4 linked regions of the Saccharomyces cerevisiae S288C genome follow. The protein of the gene in region 2 purifies or fractionates together with the protein of the main gene of each other region. This does not show direct contact. Each region holds a gene or a part of one and is shown on either strand. Other genes may lie near its edges.

Evidence for each region.
Region 1: the proteins of SEC27 (region 2) and SEC21 purify together in Saccharomyces cerevisiae (affinity purification with mass spectrometry; 6 studies listed by BioGRID). This does not show direct contact.
Region 3: the proteins of SEC27 (region 2) and GLO3 purify together in Saccharomyces cerevisiae (affinity purification with mass spectrometry; 4 studies listed by BioGRID, with this or other methods). This does not show direct contact.
Region 4: the proteins of SEC27 (region 2) and SEC26 purify together in Saccharomyces cerevisiae (affinity purification with mass spectrometry; 6 studies listed by BioGRID). This does not show direct contact.

The regions. Positions count from the first base shown.
Region 1 is NC_001146.8:90,150-95,323, reverse strand, and holds SEC21 (coatomer subunit gamma), read right to left. Parts: upstream 3,331-5,174; coding exon 523-3,330; downstream 1-522. Other genes in the region: U2 snRNP complex subunit CUS2, read right to left, coding at 1-101; CCR4-NOT core subunit CAF40, read right to left, coding at 3,900-5,021. UniProt on the Saccharomyces cerevisiae protein: The coatomer is a cytosolic protein complex that binds to dilysine motifs and reversibly associates with Golgi non-clathrin-coated vesicles, which further mediate biosynthetic protein transport from the ER, via the Golgi up to the trans Golgi network.
Region 2 is NC_001139.9:248,265-253,248, forward strand, and holds SEC27 (coatomer subunit beta'), read left to right. Parts: upstream 1-1,604; coding exon 1,605-1,622; intron 1,623-1,822; coding exon 1,823-4,474; downstream 4,475-4,984. Other genes in the region: YGL138C (uncharacterized protein), read right to left, coding at 230-1,267; MRM2 (21S rRNA (uridine2791-2'-O) methyltransferase), read right to left, coding at 4,633-4,984. UniProt on the Saccharomyces cerevisiae protein: The coatomer is a cytosolic protein complex that binds to dilysine motifs and reversibly associates with Golgi non-clathrin-coated vesicles, which further mediate biosynthetic protein transport from the ER, via the Golgi up to the trans Golgi network.
Region 3 is NC_001137.3:402,342-406,255, reverse strand, and holds GLO3 (ADP-ribosylation factor GTPase-activating protein), read left to right. Parts: upstream 1-1,903; coding exon 1,904-3,385; downstream 3,386-3,914. Other genes in the region: casein kinase YCK3, read right to left, coding at 1-1,443; YER121W (uncharacterized protein), read right to left, coding at 3,537-3,881. UniProt on the Saccharomyces cerevisiae protein: GTPase-activating protein for the ADP ribosylation factor (ARF) family. Involved in retrograde vesicular transport from the Golgi to the endoplasmic reticulum.
Region 4 is NC_001136.10:937,385-942,592, forward strand, and holds SEC26 (coatomer subunit beta), read right to left. Parts: upstream 3,433-5,208; coding exon 511-3,432; downstream 1-510. Other genes in the region: mitochondrial 54S ribosomal protein uL5m MRPL7, read left to right, coding at 1-109; YDR239C (uncharacterized protein), read right to left, coding at 3,673-5,208. UniProt on the Saccharomyces cerevisiae protein: The coatomer is a cytosolic protein complex that binds to dilysine motifs and reversibly associates with Golgi non-clathrin-coated vesicles, which further mediate biosynthetic protein transport from the ER, via the Golgi up to the trans Golgi network.

The sequences.
Region 1 (5,174 bases), on a different chromosome or scaffold from region 2:
CTTTTCTGAAGATTACTCTCTTTTAACTGTTTCCTTCTAAGCAATTCTTCTTTTTTCAATTTTTTCAAATGACCTTTCAATTCCAATTCATCAGCATCCATCGCTGTCAAACAGTAATGTTGGTAACGGAATACAGTGAAAAGTGTAGTGCGTTCAAGGGTCTGCAGCCTTTTACAATATGCCTGGTCAGACTAGTGCTTTTTTTTTGTTTTTTTTCTTCTTCTTCTTTCATCAATTGCATAATGTCAACTTTTTTCTGCCCTGTTGTCCTGTTTCTTCCATTTCGTTTTCTCTTGTCAAACTATTATAGTATTTTTCTTTAAAAATTTTGTTTATACAAAGATTACATAATTTATTCTTCGTGTGGTGATGATCCGTCATATTCTATCCGTGATTTTTTTGGTTTATTATTGTTCTTGCTGTTCATTCCCTTATTTGCATGCACGCTTGCTAAAGCTGACGCATTTCTTTTAATACTATTGATAACAAAAGAAGGGATTAACTGAAATAAAATTTCACAGCTTACTGCATTAGACCATTCACCAGATCAGAGCATAATAAGCTGTCTTCACCTTTACCATGAACTTTCAAAGCAAGACCTTTCGAACTCTTGATCATCTTAATCTGTAGGGCTACTTTAGATCCAGTTAAAGCACTCTTACCAAATAATTTCAAGGTGTGGGAGTTTGAATCACTTGGAGCAAATTGGGTACTTTCCACCGGTAAGCAGCTACTGTTCAAAATAATCTTATCTACTACTTCTTGTATGGATAAATCTTCTTGAATGTTGAAAACAGCAACTTCTTCGCATGGCAACTCATCAAATGTAGCGGAGAAGTTACCAGTGAAAGAACTCTTAACATAATCACCAGCATTCAAGAAAATCGAGTCAATTTCATATTCATCTTGGAAACCTTCATCACCATCAAATGGCTCATTAGTGTCAGGGTTTATTTCTTTTGTAGTGAATGTTAAGTTGTTCAAGAAACCTTCCATTACAATTTCATCAAGTTTTTTGAATGCAACGTAACAAGCTGCTTCCTCGGATGGTAATAATCTGTCCACTTGTAGGGTGAATAGCTCTTCTAATTCAGCTTCATCAGAAATTTCAGGGGTACAGACTACAGAAACATTGTCTAGGGCAATATCCGTCAGAGTATTCGTAATATTAAATTGTAAAACAACATTGTCTTTGAAGAGATGTTTGACACCACGTACAACGAATTCTGCTTCTGGCTCAGTTAATGAGATAGCCCTAGAACTATTTACTAATTGACCAAATGGTTTAATTTGTTCAATGGATAGCAATTCGTCAGCGTACTTAGTAGCTAGTAGATCTTCTTGGTGGTCGTCCAAGTTTGGACCAGCAAATGAATTAGCGTCAGCTCTTTTTTCTGGAACACTCTCTGCCTCTGGTGTAGTATCCAAAGTGGTTTCAGACTTTTGATTGAAAATTTGTTCTTGCTTTCTCTTCAGATTTATTGCCTTCATTTCATCCTCAGTAAACTTACGAACTTGATTCACATCAAATGCAGTTGCAAATGAATCAGTATTTGAGGAAATGTAAGAACTTAATTTTGACTCTAATGATGGAATATCGTAAAAATATTTGGATTCGATTAGATTTTGTGCTATAACATCATCTTTATTCCTAGCCGAATCAATGAATTCTAGTGCAATGGTGGCTCTGTCTCTGACTTCATCGTCTTTATCATTAGCGATTCTCTTTAACAAACTTATGATTGACTCATATAAGGTAGGATCGTTCTTCGTCAAAGCAAACTTAGATAAAGCTACAACGGCAGCAGATCTAATAATAGAATTTTCCAACACCACTCTGTTATAAATATGTCTAACATATAATGATGGATTTGGGGCAGATGGACCTTCTTTACCCAAAAGATGTAGTATTCTCACTAGTATTTCGTTGAATTCACAATCCTCGATGAAATCACACAAGTTTTCTAAGGCGAGTTCTTTAGACTGTGGAACAAATGAAACAATATCGATTAATGCTTCGACAATACTGTTTTTAAATTTGAATCCACCTTCACTATTTTTCAAAACATCGATTAAGAAGTTCAAAATTGACTTCCATTCCTGTGGGAAGTTCAAAGACAACGTACGAACGGCGTCAATAATAATGATCTTAAAGTCATCACTGACATCATGGATAAAATTAGTAATAGTCGAAATCAGAGATGAAATATTTTTGGAAGTTCCTGTCTTCAATAAAGTGGTGATTGCATAAGTAGAAATGTTTCTATTAGAATCATTAATTAAAGATTCTAGTTCAGGATTACAAACAACAATCTTTTCTGGTGAAACCATGGATATTCTATTTAAGATTCTCAATGCAGCGAATCTAGAAGAAACACGAGGAACGGTCAGTAAGGACTGTAAAGCACTGATAGCTGCCGCATATAACTCGGGAGCCACTAAGCGGGAATTGCGAGTAGCGAAAGAAGTAATCAATTTCGCCGTTTCCAACTGAACAGATTCGAACTTGTTGGATAGCCAATCAGACAAAAGTGGCCTGAATTGACTAAATAATTGAGGATCCCTATAAATCAAATCGTTGACAATCTTGACCAATTCTACCTTGGCCAATTGATTTTTCATAGAATTGTTTTCAGAGAAATGTCTAACCAATTTTAGTAACGCCATTTTATCAGTTTTCTTCAGTTGATAAAGCAACCCAAGAGCATGATATTGAGAAATATAAGTGGAGTTTGGATAATATTCGCTATTACCGTGTTGATTTGGAAATTGTTTCAAATCCAAAACAGCTTCTTGAGTTTCATTGGTGAATCTTCTGATAGTGACTTCTGAAATGGGCAGCAAATGATAAGAAGTACATAATGCTGCTGAGGATATTGAAGGATGTCTACTTACCACGGCACTTTTTAATAACCTTTCAGCGGAAAAAGCAGTAGATTCATCCAAGACATAAGTCAGCGATCTAATAGCGTCAGGCTTAATCAAATCGGAACCGTTTTGAACGTCCTTCATGATTGAAGAGGTTGCCATCAACACATCCTCCGAAATGCCACTCAATTCCTTGATTGCCAAATAAACAGCCTGCCTTAAAGGATCGTTCTGGTGTTGAAATAATTTGGAGATAGAGAAAAATAATGCAGTTGCTTCATTCTGTGGGAAGGTTTCGCCCTGGGCCAAGAGTCTCAGCAAGCGAGAAATCAATAAACGACATCTCTTGGAATTGACAGGTGATTCGTTAAACGTGTTCATACAATCCTGATAAATGGTCATTTTATCAGGTAAATCGCCCGAGGTCGAGTTTTCAAACTTTTTGTAAGTATGTGCAGACATGTTGATTCGCTCTGTGATTTAGTATCGCTTCTTGGCTTTTGTCCTATCCGTATTTGTTTAGTTATTTTGTATTATACGTCGTTCTGTAATGTTTGCGGGCTCACCTGGATGAAGCTAAGAACAAAAAAACGGGTTTAGCAGAATAACTGAAGAAGTACGTTGGTAATGAGCACACACAATTCCTCCCTTGCACTTATTTGTAAAGAATTGTGTTCTCAACAATGCAACTCGTATCCAAAAAAACGCCTATGTATATTTCATTGATCTTGACGAAACCTTTAGATTTCGAAAAAAATAGAATCGTGGTTCGTGGCGTCGTAGTGAATGACACAAGGGGTACATTCCGGGTGATAGGATGAAAAATGGGTAATAGTAATAGTACAGAAGAACCTTCTGGCACTTAACTTAAACCATTCTGAAATATGAGTGGACTTTATACATTTCATGCATATAAATATAACTATACAAAATTAGGAGAGGTGAGGAAGTGAAACTAAAACAAAAAGGCAAGGTTAAAACAATACAGGAAAATAGAAAGAGAAAAACAGTAATATATCTATGGGGATGCATCATGAGGTTTCTTCGTTTAATGTCAGTAGCAATTGTGCCAGACATCTCTTGGACCCGACGTCGTCTCTTAGTACTTCCGTAAAAGTGTTATCTCTCAGTTTGGCAGGTAAGACTATTTTCAATAGCCTGCGTGCTTCGAGATCGTCGCTTAATCTTAAGTAGCATCTAATGATATGTTTCAGTAGTCGTCCCGGTGGTGTGCTCACGGTCAAGTGCTCAACCATATCTTTTAAGACATTAGTTACGGCGTAGAACCTTTCCAAGGTGGCACAGATGTATTGCAATCCAACGTCATCTAGTAGGATTTTCTGTAAAATGAAAATGGCGACTGTCTTGGAAAGCTCAGAAGAAGATTCCATGATCCTTAGGCATAACGGCACGATATCGGTTCTTAGCAAAAACGTTATTACGTCTTGTGAGTCATTTTTGACCAATGCGCCTATCACACCTAATGAAGTCAATCTCAAGTACTCAAAAGTTCTTTGCCTGGAGGTAGTATTTAGGAAGGGGAAAAGAAAGAGAGGAATATGGGCCTGTAAAAAGAGATGTTTTGTCTCTGGGTGAGATGCAACACACTGTAGAAGAACTAGAGCGTTGCATACACGATTTGATAGATTGTTAGAGAGCATCTGAGGTTGCAGCATGGGATATACGGAAATGATTTCGTTCAGCAATGAGGTCATTACACCAAAGGAAGACCAAAGCACAACGGCAAGGTCATCAAACTGTTCTCTTTTGCGACCTAATTCAAGCAGTGCTTGTTCCTTTTGAGGGCCGTAGGTCAATTGACAAATCCAGTGGTATACATTGGGATCATCTAGAGCATGCACTGCGCCTCTATTATTGACCATGTTGGGATTGTTTCGAGTTGCGTTAGCATCGTTACCGCCGTTATTGCCGTTATTGCCGTTGTTCTCGCCATTTTCATTGCTATTATTATTATTCGGAGTATTGCCCATTAGCATGGGGCCTCCACTTGGAATTTGTTGATTCATGCCTGGACCCATTGAAGTTGGAACCCCAGGCATGGACATAGATCCTGGATTATTAGTTGAAGGACCACCACCACCCATGTTCACGCCTGCTCCATTGCCATATATTGGCTTTTGAGCGGAAAACATATTAACTTATTCAGAGGATGTTCAGTTGCTGTCGTTGTTGCTTCAGGAACAAAGTTTAATCTCGTCAAGATCAGCAGAAACACACACACTCGCAAATTTGTCAAAACTTGGGAGTTTTAAAAGATGAACGGTTTCTAACTTGCGTACTCTACG
Region 2 (4,984 bases):
CACTTTGTACCAGTTTGCTTAATATGAATTTTTTTAAAATAGATAGCTTTTGTTATCTTTGTTTCTATGTTGTAATATCCCAGTTTGTCATATTTTTAATACTCCTCGTGTAACAACAAATTAAAAAAAAATAAATACTTAAATTAATCAAGTTAAATAAACTAATCGAATCAAACAAACAATTTATTATAAAATTATGTTTTTTCATGAATAGGAATGTGTAAGTTGTTCAGTTCTTAAGAGGTATCTTATTTTTTAACATCTTTGAGATCTTCCTCCTCAAATATTTCCTTCTTGTAATATTTCCACTATTAGAGTTTCTATTATGTGCGGCTATCGCTCTTATTAGTGCATCATGAGGCCTTTCTATGTTTTGCGCAATCCGATTTATTGTACGGTCTAGTTTTTCATGAAAATTCGGGACATTTTCATTCCCAGAGCTATCATATTGCTCCATAGGATTTATTTCGTTTATCCAAGACATTTCTTTGTTTTTAAACTTTCTTAAGTTTTTATAGCTCTTCCAAAACTCCGAAGTTAAGGATTTATATTCCAATTCGTTTGATATGTTCTTATCTGAATGGATGAGCATCTCATATTTGGACATAGGAATACTTAACGAATGTAGATAAGGTACCACCTTGGTGATTCTTCCTTTAATTGACCAAGATATTTTGTAATCTCTAATATCATCAGAAATAATAGGCGTTAATGGAATAGTTTCAAAATTGTTCTGAGTGGGGGGATGCGTCTTTGAAGAATTGCAAACAAATACGAATCCAACAAATTTATTAGGAAAGTAAAGGGTTACATTACGCTGTGTATATTTCTGCACCCTTGCAAACTTGAAACATACTGAGCTGTTTTGGGAGATAGTATCATCCTCCTGGGCTGGAATGCATAGTGGTTCTGCCCAATCTAAATCCTTTTGAAAGGGTAGAATATGATTCCAAATTGGCTTTCCTCCTTTACAAAAGGTCACTTGAAGAAAATTATTGATTTGCAAGGGCGCTACCTGGTATTCATATTGTTTTTCAATTACAAAGCCTGTGTACAAAGTACTTTGTTTTTTGTATTGTTCGTACTCCTGCTTCAAGTTCTGTAACTTGTCACCTTTAAGAACATTTAAGAAGAACTCTGTCTGGAAATTTTGGTCTTCGAACTTACACACATCATGTCCAGGAAATGAACTTTTTCCTTGAACGAAAGTGCTCTTAAATAAGGTGTACGTTATAAAAAAGAAGAAAAATTCTAAAAAGTTGTACATTCATCCGAGGAGCACTTTGGATATTATAATCTATTTTTAGTTTTGTTGCTTTGTATTGAGCTGTATAAAAATCATTAGATCCACATTACTAATTATTGAATATGGACAATAATATCAAATATATTATTATCAAATTGATTATTTTGTGACGCGGCGTCAAATTTTAATCGCGTCTGACGAATGAGCGGGTAATAAACTGTCTTTTTTTCATGAATGAATCGAGCTGGCATTAGGAACATGTCGTGTAAGATTTGGGAGTAAATAACAGAAAGCTGCAATAAATGGTAGCTTGTAATGGTGAATTAAGACACCCAATCGAAACAATTATACGGACACGATGAAGTTGGATATAAAGGTATGTTACCAGAGCGCGTTTTGCCAATGCAATTGCGAACAAGCTCCGACAACTCCTATGATTAGGAAATGATCTCGTTCGCGAAGAATACAAAGCCTGCAAAAAGCAAACATTAAGATTAGTTACTAACAGGAAGATTTTTGAAATAAATGCATTTGCTCTTGGCATTTCCTTTATTTGACACTGTACATTTATGATAGAAAACTTTTAGTAATAGATCCGATCGAGTTAAAGGTATCGATTTCCATCCTACTGAGCCATGGGTTTTGACTACCTTGTACTCTGGTCGTGTTGAGCTTTGGAATTACGAAACACAAGTTGAAGTTAGATCCATCCAAGTTACGGAAACTCCTGTTAGAGCAGGTAAATTCATTGCAAGAAAGAATTGGATAATTGTTGGGAGTGATGATTTCAGGATCAGAGTCTTCAACTACAATACAGGTGAAAAAGTTGTTGATTTCGAAGCTCATCCAGACTATATCCGTTCCATTGCTGTACATCCAACAAAGCCTTATGTTTTATCCGGCAGTGATGATTTGACAGTCAAACTATGGAATTGGGAAAATAACTGGGCCTTAGAACAAACTTTTGAAGGTCACGAACACTTTGTCATGTGCGTCGCATTCAATCCAAAGGATCCTAGTACGTTTGCATCTGGGTGTTTGGACCGAACCGTTAAAGTTTGGTCATTGGGACAATCGACACCAAATTTCACGTTAACCACAGGACAAGAAAGAGGTGTGAATTATGTTGATTATTACCCGCTACCTGACAAGCCTTATATGATTACTGCGTCGGACGACTTAACCATCAAAATTTGGGATTACCAAACGAAGTCATGTGTAGCCACTCTAGAAGGTCACATGTCCAATGTTTCTTTTGCTGTTTTCCATCCAACTTTACCCATTATAATTTCTGGTTCCGAAGATGGCACTTTAAAGATATGGAATTCTTCCACTTACAAGGTAGAAAAGACTTTAAACGTTGGTTTAGAAAGAAGTTGGTGTATCGCTACCCATCCAACAGGACGTAAAAACTACATTGCATCCGGGTTTGATAATGGGTTTACCGTACTTTCCTTGGGAAATGATGAACCAACTTTATCACTTGACCCTGTCGGTAAGCTAGTATGGTCAGGTGGCAAAAATGCCGCAGCTTCAGACATTTTCACTGCCGTCATAAGAGGTAACGAAGAAGTTGAACAAGATGAACCATTATCTTTACAAACTAAGGAGCTGGGTTCCGTTGATGTTTTCCCTCAATCTTTAGCCCATTCTCCAAATGGTAGGTTTGTTACAGTTGTTGGGGATGGTGAATACGTTATTTATACGGCGTTGGCTTGGAGAAACAAAGCCTTCGGTAAATGTCAAGACTTTGTTTGGGGCCCCGACTCCAATAGTTATGCTTTAATTGATGAAACTGGGCAAATTAAATACTACAAAAACTTTAAAGAAGTCACATCATGGTCTGTCCCAATGCATTCTGCTATTGATAGATTATTTTCAGGTGCCTTGTTGGGTGTGAAGTCTGATGGCTTCGTCTATTTCTTCGATTGGGACAACGGTACGCTAGTTAGAAGAATTGATGTTAATGCTAAGGATGTCATTTGGTCCGATAACGGTGAGCTGGTGATGATTGTCAACACCAATAGTAATGGTGATGAAGCAAGTGGTTACACATTATTATTCAACAAGGATGCTTACCTTGAAGCAGCAAATAATGGCAATATCGACGATTCAGAAGGTGTTGATGAGGCTTTTGACGTATTGTATGAACTAAGTGAATCCATTACATCAGGCAAATGGGTTGGTGATGTCTTTATCTTTACCACAGCAACTAACAGGCTGAACTACTTCGTAGGTGGAAAGACTTATAATTTAGCCCATTACACAAAGGAAATGTATCTATTGGGCTATCTAGCACGTGATAATAAAGTATATTTAGCTGACAGAGAGGTCCATGTTTATGGTTACGAAATATCTCTAGAGGTGCTGGAGTTCCAAACATTGACTTTAAGAGGGGAAATTGAAGAAGCCATTGAAAATGTACTCCCAAATGTTGAGGGTAAGGACTCTTTAACAAAAATTGCTAGATTTCTGGAAGGTCAAGAGTATTATGAAGAAGCACTGAATATTTCCCCTGATCAAGATCAAAAATTTGAGCTAGCCTTAAAAGTCGGCCAACTTACGCTTGCTCGCGATTTGTTGACAGATGAAAGCGCCGAAATGAAATGGAGAGCCTTGGGTGATGCTTCCTTACAAAGGTTCAATTTTAAACTTGCTGTTGAAGCTTTCACAAATGCACATGATCTAGAATCTTTATTTCTATTGCACTCATCTTTTAATAACAAGGAGGGGTTGGTCACTTTAGCTAAAGATGCTGAAAGGGCCGGTAAATTCAATTTGGCTTTTAATGCATATTGGATCGCTGGCGATATACAAGGCGCTAAAGATCTTTTAATCAAGTCTCAAAGGTTTTCCGAAGCCGCTTTCCTTGGATCAACATACGGTTTAGGAGATGATGCAGTCAACGATATTGTTACAAAATGGAAGGAAAATTTGATACTCAACGGTAAGAATACTGTATCAGAAAGAGTTTGTGGGGCCGAAGGTTTACCAGGCTCTTCGAGTTCAGGAGATGCCCAACCACTCATTGACTTAGATTCCACTCCAGCCCCAGAACAAGCTGACGAAAACAAAGAAGCTGAAGTTGAGGACAGCGAGTTTAAAGAATCCAACTCAGAGGCAGTTGAAGCCGAAAAAAAAGAAGAGGAAGCTCCCCAGCAACAACAATCAGAACAACAGCCGGAGCAAGGAGAGGCAGTGCCGGAGCCTGTGGAAGAAGAGAGTTAACCACCTCATAGAAAGACAAATAAAGAACTAATCAACGAATGAGAAAACATCTTTAATGGATGGTAAACATATATATATACAGATGTACACTTTTTATTTTTATTGCGATAGGTGTGAAAATGAACGTGACTTGAAACTTTGCGCGCAAACAAATCATATTATGAATTACTAAACACGTCCAGTTTATCTACATTTCTTTTCTTCTTTAATCCGATATAATAGGTCTCCTTTGATTCGTCTCTAGAAGCGTCAGGCTTGAACTTATGAACGTTAGTGAAAACTGCCTGCATTCTTTTTTTAAATAGGTTTTCTTCTTCGCCGGTGTATAGTTTACAAACAAACGAACCTAATGGCCGTAATAAATCTATAGCCGTAACTAAGGCTGCGTCACATAAATCAATAGATTGGTAATGGTCTCTTATACTGACACCAGATGTATTAGCCATCCTAAAATAAGCTTGATTAGTAATGTTGTTCCAAAAACCGGTTGTTTGGGGCCAGGGTTCATAC
Region 3 (3,914 bases), on a different chromosome or scaffold from region 2:
AAGGTTTGTGTAGTGGTTTGGTAAGTTGTGCTCATTATTACTTCTTTTAGGGTTAGCTTTAGAACTTGAATATGGTACAAATGGTGAATTTTGTGTATGACTGATGGAGTCGTACGTTTGACTTTGACTTTTAATTGGCCGTTGAAGATTTGAATGTGTTTCAGGAATATATTTACTATTGGGTTCGATTTTTTTCAAGACGTGTTGTTGTTTAGTAAAGCTCTGCGGGTTCGAAGAAATTCTGGATTTCGAATTGTCCTTGTTATAACTGTTTTGAGCTTGTTGCTTAGGTGTCGCAACTGGCGTTGTATTTCGTGTCTTTGAATTCGTATTCACATTGTTTCTTGCAGTATTGCCATTGACTCTTGGATTTGGATTTCCGTAACCATGCAAGTTAGCTCTTCTATTAATCTTGATATTCCAGCCTTTACCACCATTCAAATCCATCCAGTCATAGTGTCCATCATCCTTTAAGTCGTTTAATCTCAAAGCGTCATCCATTAACGAGATTAAATAGTCATAATCCGGATCTTCGTCGAACTTCAAGGAACGTGCATATTTTAAATATGTGGCAAACTGATAAGGAATAGCATTATTCAATAAAAGATCATCAGGATTCAATTTCTGTTTAGTCATACCAATCTTTTCATACTTCAGTTTGTTGTTTGGTGCTTTCAAACCTTGCCATGGCAAGGATCCCCTCAAGAAATAAAAAAAAACGTGACCTAGCGATTCTAAATCATCCCTACGTGACTGTTCTCTTCCAAAATGAGTATTAATAGACATATATCTGGCGGTACCGCTCAATGATTTTCGTTCACGGTATGGTATATGTTGTTTCGTTCTTGGATCTCTATATTGTTTTGCCATACCAAAGTCAACCATGTATATTAAATTGGGATCATTATTAGAAGAGGAGGCACATGATTTAATGACTTTTCCTTCAGGTGAAATTCTTTGATATTGAGAAATTAAAAAGTTATCGGGTTTAATATCGCGATAGATTAAGTCGTGATCATGAATTGCTCTAACTCTATCAATCATTTGCTTGGCAACCATACAGGTTGTTTTCACTGAAAATTTTCTACCACACCACTCAAAGAGATCTTCCAATGATGGCCCTAGTAAATCGATAATCAAGATGTTGTGCATACCTTCTTGACCAAAATAATAAGCATGGGGAATTCCAACGCAGCCATTCAATATCCTATAGGCTCTAAATTCGTCACGCAACTGGGGTGCGTCCGAATGTCGCGGTTCGAATTTAATTGCGACTGGCTCGTTCGCCATTATTATACTAGAGTCCCTCTTGCTACCGGTCTGCGCTTGACAAGAATGAAGAATGTTCTCTCCCTCAAATATTACTCCGAAAGACCCTTCGCCAATCTTAGGTCCTACAGCATAATGAATACCTACAATGTGTTGTGAAGATCGTTGGGACATCTTTCCTTATCGTCCTTTTACACTTTTTCTTCAGAATGAGATACCACTTTTGATTAGTGGACCGTAGCACGTATACCCTTAAATAGCAGACAATTCTTGCAAAACGGATTTCCTTCTTTTTTAAAAAACAGCAAATAATACCAGTACCTAGATGTTACGAATGCTGTTCCCCTGTTACTCTCTAAGCTGCCCTTTTCAATTCACCTATAGAATGTTTAAAATTTTACTTTCAATATTGGTATTATCTATGACACAAAAGGAAAAGTAACATCGTTTGGTCATTTTCGACGACACGGTAAAGTTTCGAAAAAAAAAAAAAAAAAAGAAAACAACTATTCTTCGTAAACACGATTTAGCTGGCATTTTATAAAAGGAGATCAAGGCGATAGCAAAGAAAGGGTATTTGTTAAGTACTTGTTGATCCGGTCTTCTTGAGCAATTTAGTATACACATAGCGACAATGAGTAACGATGAAGGAGAAACATTTGCCACGGAACAGACTACTCAACAAGTTTTTCAGAAGCTAGGTAGCAACATGGAAAATCGAGTTTGTTTTGATTGTGGTAACAAGAATCCTACTTGGACTTCGGTACCTTTTGGTGTGATGCTGTGTATTCAATGCTCTGCTGTGCATAGAAACATGGGTGTTCATATCACCTTTGTAAAGTCTTCTACATTAGATAAATGGACAATTAACAATTTAAGAAGGTTTAAGTTGGGTGGGAACCATAAGGCTCGTGATTTTTTCTTAAAGAACAATGGGAAACAGCTACTAAATACAGCAAATGTTGACGCGAAAACAAAATATACGAGCCCTGTTGCTAAGAAATATAAGATACATCTCGACAAGAAGGTTCAAAAGGATATGGAGTTATACCCATCAGAATTAGTCTTGAACGGTCAAGATTCTTCGGACTCACCGTTGGACACCGATTCAGACGCTTCCAGGTCGACTTCCAAAGAAAATAGTGTTGACGATTTTTTCTCTAATTGGCAAAAACCAAGCTCCAATTCCAGTTCTAAACTCAATGTAAATACAGGCTCTCTCGCCCCAAAAAACAACACCACAGGCAGCACACCCAAGACCACTGTCACTAAAACGAGAAGTTCCATCTTAACGGCTAGCAGAAAGAAACCGGTATTAAACTCGCAAGATAAAAAGAAACATTCAATTTTGTCTTCGTCAAGAAAGCCCACTAGACTAACCGCAAAGAAAGTCGACAAATCACAGGCAGAAGACTTGTTTGATCAATTTAAAAAAGAGGCTCAACAAGAAAAGGAGGACGAGTTCACTAATTCGTCTTCTAGCACCAAAATTAGACAAAATGATTACGATTCCCAATTTATGAATAACAGTAAAGGCAACAATAATAACAGTATAGATGATATTAATACCCAGCCTGATGAATTCAATGATTTTTTAAATGACACTTCAAACAGCTTCGACACAACTAGAAAAGAACAGCAAGATACTTTAACACCCAAGTTTGCCAAATTGGGATTTGGTATGACCATGAATGACGCCAATGATTTGGCAAAGCAACAAAAAGAATCTCAGAAAATAGCTCAGGGACCAAGATATACGGGCAGAATCGCGGAAAGGTACGGCACACAAAAAGCTATATCATCTGATCAATTATTTGGTCGTGGCTCATTTGATGAAGCAGCAAACAGGGAAGCGCATGACAAGTTGAAAACATTTGACAATGCTACATCAATTTCCTCTTCTTCATACTTTGGAGAAGATAAAGAAGTGGATGAATTTGGTAATCCCATCAATAGTAGTGGAAGTGGAGCAGGGAATTTTGATGGCCGTAATTCTAATAACGGTTTCATCGATTTTAATGCCTCCGCAGATGATGAATTGCAGATGTTGAGAGACGTTGTAGAACAGGGTGCTGAAAAACTCGGTAGTTATTTAAGGGACTACTTAAGAAAATAAGTTTAATTTTCTCTTTAATTGAATTTTTTTTTTTTCATTGTTATCATTGTTTTTTATTCTCATTTTTCATTATATGATAATTATATTTATGGTACATAGAAACGGTTGTATATGCATTGTACGTGCGTTTATTCTTATTCTTCATCCCCCCTTATCTTAGTTTAAGGTTTCTAAAATCGAAAGTTTCATGTGCGTATGAAGCGGTTGAAAATGCAGACGAGGTAGCATTTGGTTCATTAGCATTATAAACACTTTGCTTTAAAGAAGGTAAGTTATTTTCGACATCTCTGTTTCTAATTGCTTCATCGTCCACATAGGGAGAGTCTATACCCACTTTCCAAAACGAGTTCATTACTTGATTACCATATTCGTTAGAAACACTTGCATTTAAACTATCACTTGCCGCAAGGGCGTAGTAGTGCGCATCCTGTTGCATTTCTTCGCTCTTTTCCTCTGCTGGCCTTGAATTCTTGTCGTGCCAGCGCGATAAGCCCATGTTACTATATTGTCAATATGTGAGTCCCTCGTT
Region 4 (5,208 bases), on a different chromosome or scaffold from region 2:
TAAAACTTTTGGTATGCACATAAATATAAACACCTCAGCTCAATTAGATTACCAGGCGAGAACTTTGTTGAGTGGGTTCCAGTTCCCATTTTTCGGAGAGGAGAAATAAGAATACAATCTCATGGTCCTGGCCAGTTAGCCATGCTCTATGGCAGAAAGGCAAAGGGCATATATAATTTCCCATTCGTCATGTAAATATATAAACTGTACAAGATACTATCTCTCTCCATTTTTCAATCATATAGTTCTCTTTGGGGCACTGAGATGTCTACAAATTGTTATAAAATTGGACGTCTCTTACACAACTCACAACTCAACTCTGTATAAAGATTTTTAGGAAAGAAAATGTACATAAAAGTGAATACTTGTTTAAAAATGAGAACAAAGATTCCTACGCAATTAAAATCTATTTAAAGATTTTCCTTATTTTTTTATTTCTTTTCGAATTTTTTAAGTTTTATTCTTATCTCCTTTGACATTATAACTTACATTGCATCAGCTCAGGGTGGTTCAAACATGAGTGAGAGCAAGTTTATTGGTCTTCTTAGCAATCAATGCCACTCTGTCACCTAGGGACAGAGCCAAACCTTGTCCCTTTGATCGGATACGAACATAACCTATGACATCATTGGTTTTGGAATCCTTTTCGATACACAAGTTGGCTAGGGCATCTTCACCAAAGGACGACTTCGCATACAGATTACAACTTAAGAACCTACAATCATCTTCTCCCAACGACTCTGATGGTGTTAGAATACCCATATTAGTTCCCTTGACCAGTTCTCTCAAATAAGCATGCAATGTTGGTAGTTGTGATTTGACCGATATTTTGTTCTCCCACTCAAATGCATTCCACATGGTACGGAAATGTTCATCGTCAGCAGTGGCTGGTTTGATATAATCCATAATGTCAACATGAACGTCGTTTAAAATAACATAACGAGCATCTTCACCATGCGCACCATCATAAATAATATTACCGAAAATGACACCTGTGTCAGCAGAGGAAACTTTGACAGTAACAGTGAATTTGTGGAAGCCATGAGGAATCACGTTGGTCTTCTGTGGTGTGTCAATAATCTTCAAATCACCAAGAGTTGCAAATTGCACATGTAGGTTTTTCAATGTTTCTTTCGTTTGATTAACAAGAAGAACATCTAATACGACGTCAAATTGATTGTTTGTAATACAAGCCTCGGCGTAAACTGGATCAGAAAAGCCACATAAAGGTACTATCTTCTTCAGCTTCGAAATACTAGAGCTGCTAGTAGCGTGGATTGCATCTCCTTTCATTGCCAGTTGTAAATCTTCTTCAATACTATCTTTTTGCACATTAGTAGAATCCACACCAGCAAATTGCCTGAAAGAAATCGGCGTATCAATTGGTTCGATGTTTTTGCAACTGTCTTTTAATGCTCTCTTATGCTTGTTCTTCTTTGCAATTTCAATTTGTCTCTTGAATGAGGATTTGGTGGTGTCCAGGAATGCAACCTCCAGAAGTTTAACTTCTTCCTTCTTTTCCTCAGGATTAACTTCATCCAATAAAATAGAAATAGATGTCATAACTCTCTCTAAAGAATCTTCATCAATTTTTTTCTCCACCAAAGAGCTTTGACCCACTCTTACAATACTAACTAAAATTAGTAAAGCTTCCGCCTTTAGAGCATTGATGACAGTTTTGTTCTTGGAAACGTTTTCGAATTTTAAAACAAGTTTAATGATGGTGTTGGCCAGAATGGCAGCTGTGTAGAAATCACCACTTAAAACAAACCGGCGAATTGGAGGTCTAGAATCACGTTCTTCATCGGTAACTGACTTTTGAGAAGTCTTCACATCGAAAGCGCTTTCAGTGGCATACGTACCGTCTGGTAGAATAACTGGACCAGTTGGCTTGGCGGTAGCGTCAACCTCATTTTCTTCGGTGTGTTCTTGGTTTTGTGTTAACTTTTTGATTTCTGATTGAAGGATAGGAACTTCACCTACGCTGTTACGAATGTGCTTCCAACAATGTTGTATCTCACTTTCTCCTTCAGCATACTCACCCATAATCCATAATGCACCGCGGTAAGCTTTAGCAGATCTCACTTTGTCTAGCGTTTGAACCATGTTTTCAAGGATATTGGCTCTAAGTTGTGGGTATTTTTCGATCACTTCTTTGATAAAGGCAATGATACCACTGGCGGCAACCGAGTTTAAATCACCGATGAAATCTAATAATAGCGAAACAACACTTGCTGCCATTTCTACAAAGTTTACAGCCACGGTACGAATAGTTTTTATTAACAATTGTCTGTACTGCATTGCCTTGTCTTGATCTGGGTTATTTACGGTTGTTTGCAGCTCTTTCTTCAAAAGCTGAACAACATCTTCAGCATTTCTGGATGTGGCCAAGTCCATTGAAATATCAAGCGCCTTTGAACGAACGTCTAAATCTTCTGCATTCAAGACTCTCAAAATATCCAGGGTTAACTCTTCCAAAGCACCTACGTTATTAGCATTGATGTCTTGAATACGGTCTAGAACAATTAACTTAATGTTATTATCAGAAACCTTGACGGCCAAGTCAATCAATTTGTTAACCGCAGGAACCAAGACATTTGGATTGGCAGACAACACAGTTAGGGCTAATGCGGTCTCGAAGATGACTTCATCGGAAGTCGTGGTCGAAAGCAGTTCCATCAATAATTCGATATATTGGGCTTTCAAAGCAGGGGTCCTGTTTGCATCTTGTCTGATAAATTGAACAAAGACAGCTTGTAATAAAGGGTCTAGGTTTTCTATATCAGCAATATTGTTCTCTAAATAGTGTAAGGCATTTTCACGATCTAATTCAGCTAACCCAATAAATGCATTTCTTTTACATATTGGATCAGTTTCAGCTACTATGAACGAATTGATGATTTCTTTAGCATCGGGAAGTAAATGTTCGCTGACCTTGAAAATGGAGAAAACTGCTAGGATTGCATACTTACGAACATATGCATGACGGTATTCCAAGCACGCTAAGACAGAGGGAACCATCTGTTCTAAGAGTTCGGCCTCTCTCAATTTCGTTAAAAACCTTAATGTGTTACCTCTAATATATTCATTAGGATGTTGCAAATCGTGTTGAATGGCATTACAGACAAGAATCATTTCATGTCTCAATTTTCCATCTTCAGCTAGTTTGGGAACAATTTCCCAGTAGAAGTACAAAAGCTTTTTTAATTCCTTATTTTTAGAAGGCATGACAAATCTTATTATGTGCATCAACAATTCAGGCATTGGATTTCCTTCCAGCATTGTAACTAAAATTGATTTCATCGTGTCAATTTTTTGTTCATCAGATCCCTTTTCAAGAGCTTTCTGAAAATCGGTACTCGAGTAAGTCTCCATACTCGGAGAAGGATCGAAAACCAACGTGTACGCTGGCTGTGAAGAAAGTGAAGTCATAGGTGCACTCTTGTTCAATAGTTAACTGTGATTACTTTTGTTTATTCTCAAGGCAATCTTAACTGAGTCTTAATGAACGTCAAATTTCACTTGTCGAGCTGTTGTTTTCTGATTTCTTTCTACGTGTAGCGAGTACACGGAAAGAAAAAAAAAACGAAGTGATAAGCTGGGTAATACTTTTCTAAAATGCTGTTCCATAAACGTACATATATGACATCTACAAAACTACAGAGAAGGATATCATTCTGGGTCTGAATCAGGGTTTGCCACACGCAAGCCATGCCCCAGAGAATAGCTGAGGTCTACCACATCAGAGTTCGTTGTGGAGACAGAGTCCTGACGCGATATATTACTTCTAGCATTAGCATCACGATAATCTTGAAGAGAGATATGTGTAGGAAGCTTTTGTCTGTTCACGTAATCATTATCCAGTGTTCCACTTCTCATTCTGTTCTGAGACCTTGTGTAGTAGCTGACTACCGTGTTAGATCTTGACACGGAATCAACAGAACCGTTTTGCCCTCTTTTTTCTCGTAAAGGCGCCATTATATCATCACTGTTATATGCTTCATCACCGGGTATGTCCTTGAGGTAGTCTTCGGCTTGTTCTGCGTCAGTGCCTTCTTTTTTTGAAATAGAGCCAGTTTCATTTTCCTTCCCTAACAATTTATGGAATTCCTTTGTGTGGTCAACATTGATTTTATTTTTCAGCCCTGTAGCGGTTCCATCTGATTCTTCATTTCTTGTCTCCAACGCCAGTAATTTCTGTTTAACTTTACCATGCTTGATACCAATTTGCTTAGAACTTGTCCTCAACTTGACCTTAATATTCTTGGGTTGAATCAAATTATTTTTTTGTTTTAGAGCAACCGGCAAGTTAGGAGGCGCTTGTAAAAAGTTAGAAGTCTTGTAATACTTTAGTCGCAGTTCTTCTACGTAACTAGAAACCAAAGGCACGGACTTTTCCGATTTGTTCGATACGACAGATGTTAACGGTGAACATTTGACAGATCTTTCGCTTGGGGCATCATGTACCGGATTTGGTAAATCCACCGTTGCAGGGATAGTAACTGTGTGTTCATTGAACGAGTGAGCAGCCGGCACTAAACTTTCTGAAATGGAGTTTAAACTGTTTAACTCGGATGTTTTATTTGATGATTTTGTGTTTCCGTTTGAGTCAAGAGCAGCCAAAACAGTTGATTTAGAGCCTTTTGATATAGAAAGTCCTGACTGGCTAGAGAAGTTTGACTTGGCATCATACTCACCAGATGATGCAGTGTCAAAAGAATGCTTGTCGGTTAGACTGCCCGTATCGTTTACACTATTTAAATAGAAACTAGGGCGATCTTCATTAACCACCCTAAATATTCTACGATGACTTGGTAACTCAGGCTCTTGTGTTGAGACGTCATTTTTTATAGATGAGCCTTGATCACTTGCGTAATTTATAAATGCTTTACTTTCACTATCCACAAAACCTTTTTCCTGAAGACCATCATCATCATCCTCGTTGGAAGAACCGCTATCAATCTCATTAGTTATCCGCAGAGGCTTTCTGGCGCTTGCAATACTTCCATCACTCCCAAGGTGCTCATTTGATTTATATGCAAAATCAAAATGTGCAGCTTTAAAACCACTAGATTCGTCTTTAGAAACTTGCTGAAGGCTTTTGGTGGATTTACCACTAGCCGATGTACTAAAGGAAAATTTATCATCCCCATCATCCAGATTCGAAGAAAATTCTTTTAGATGATCTGATTGTACTAAATTTCCGTT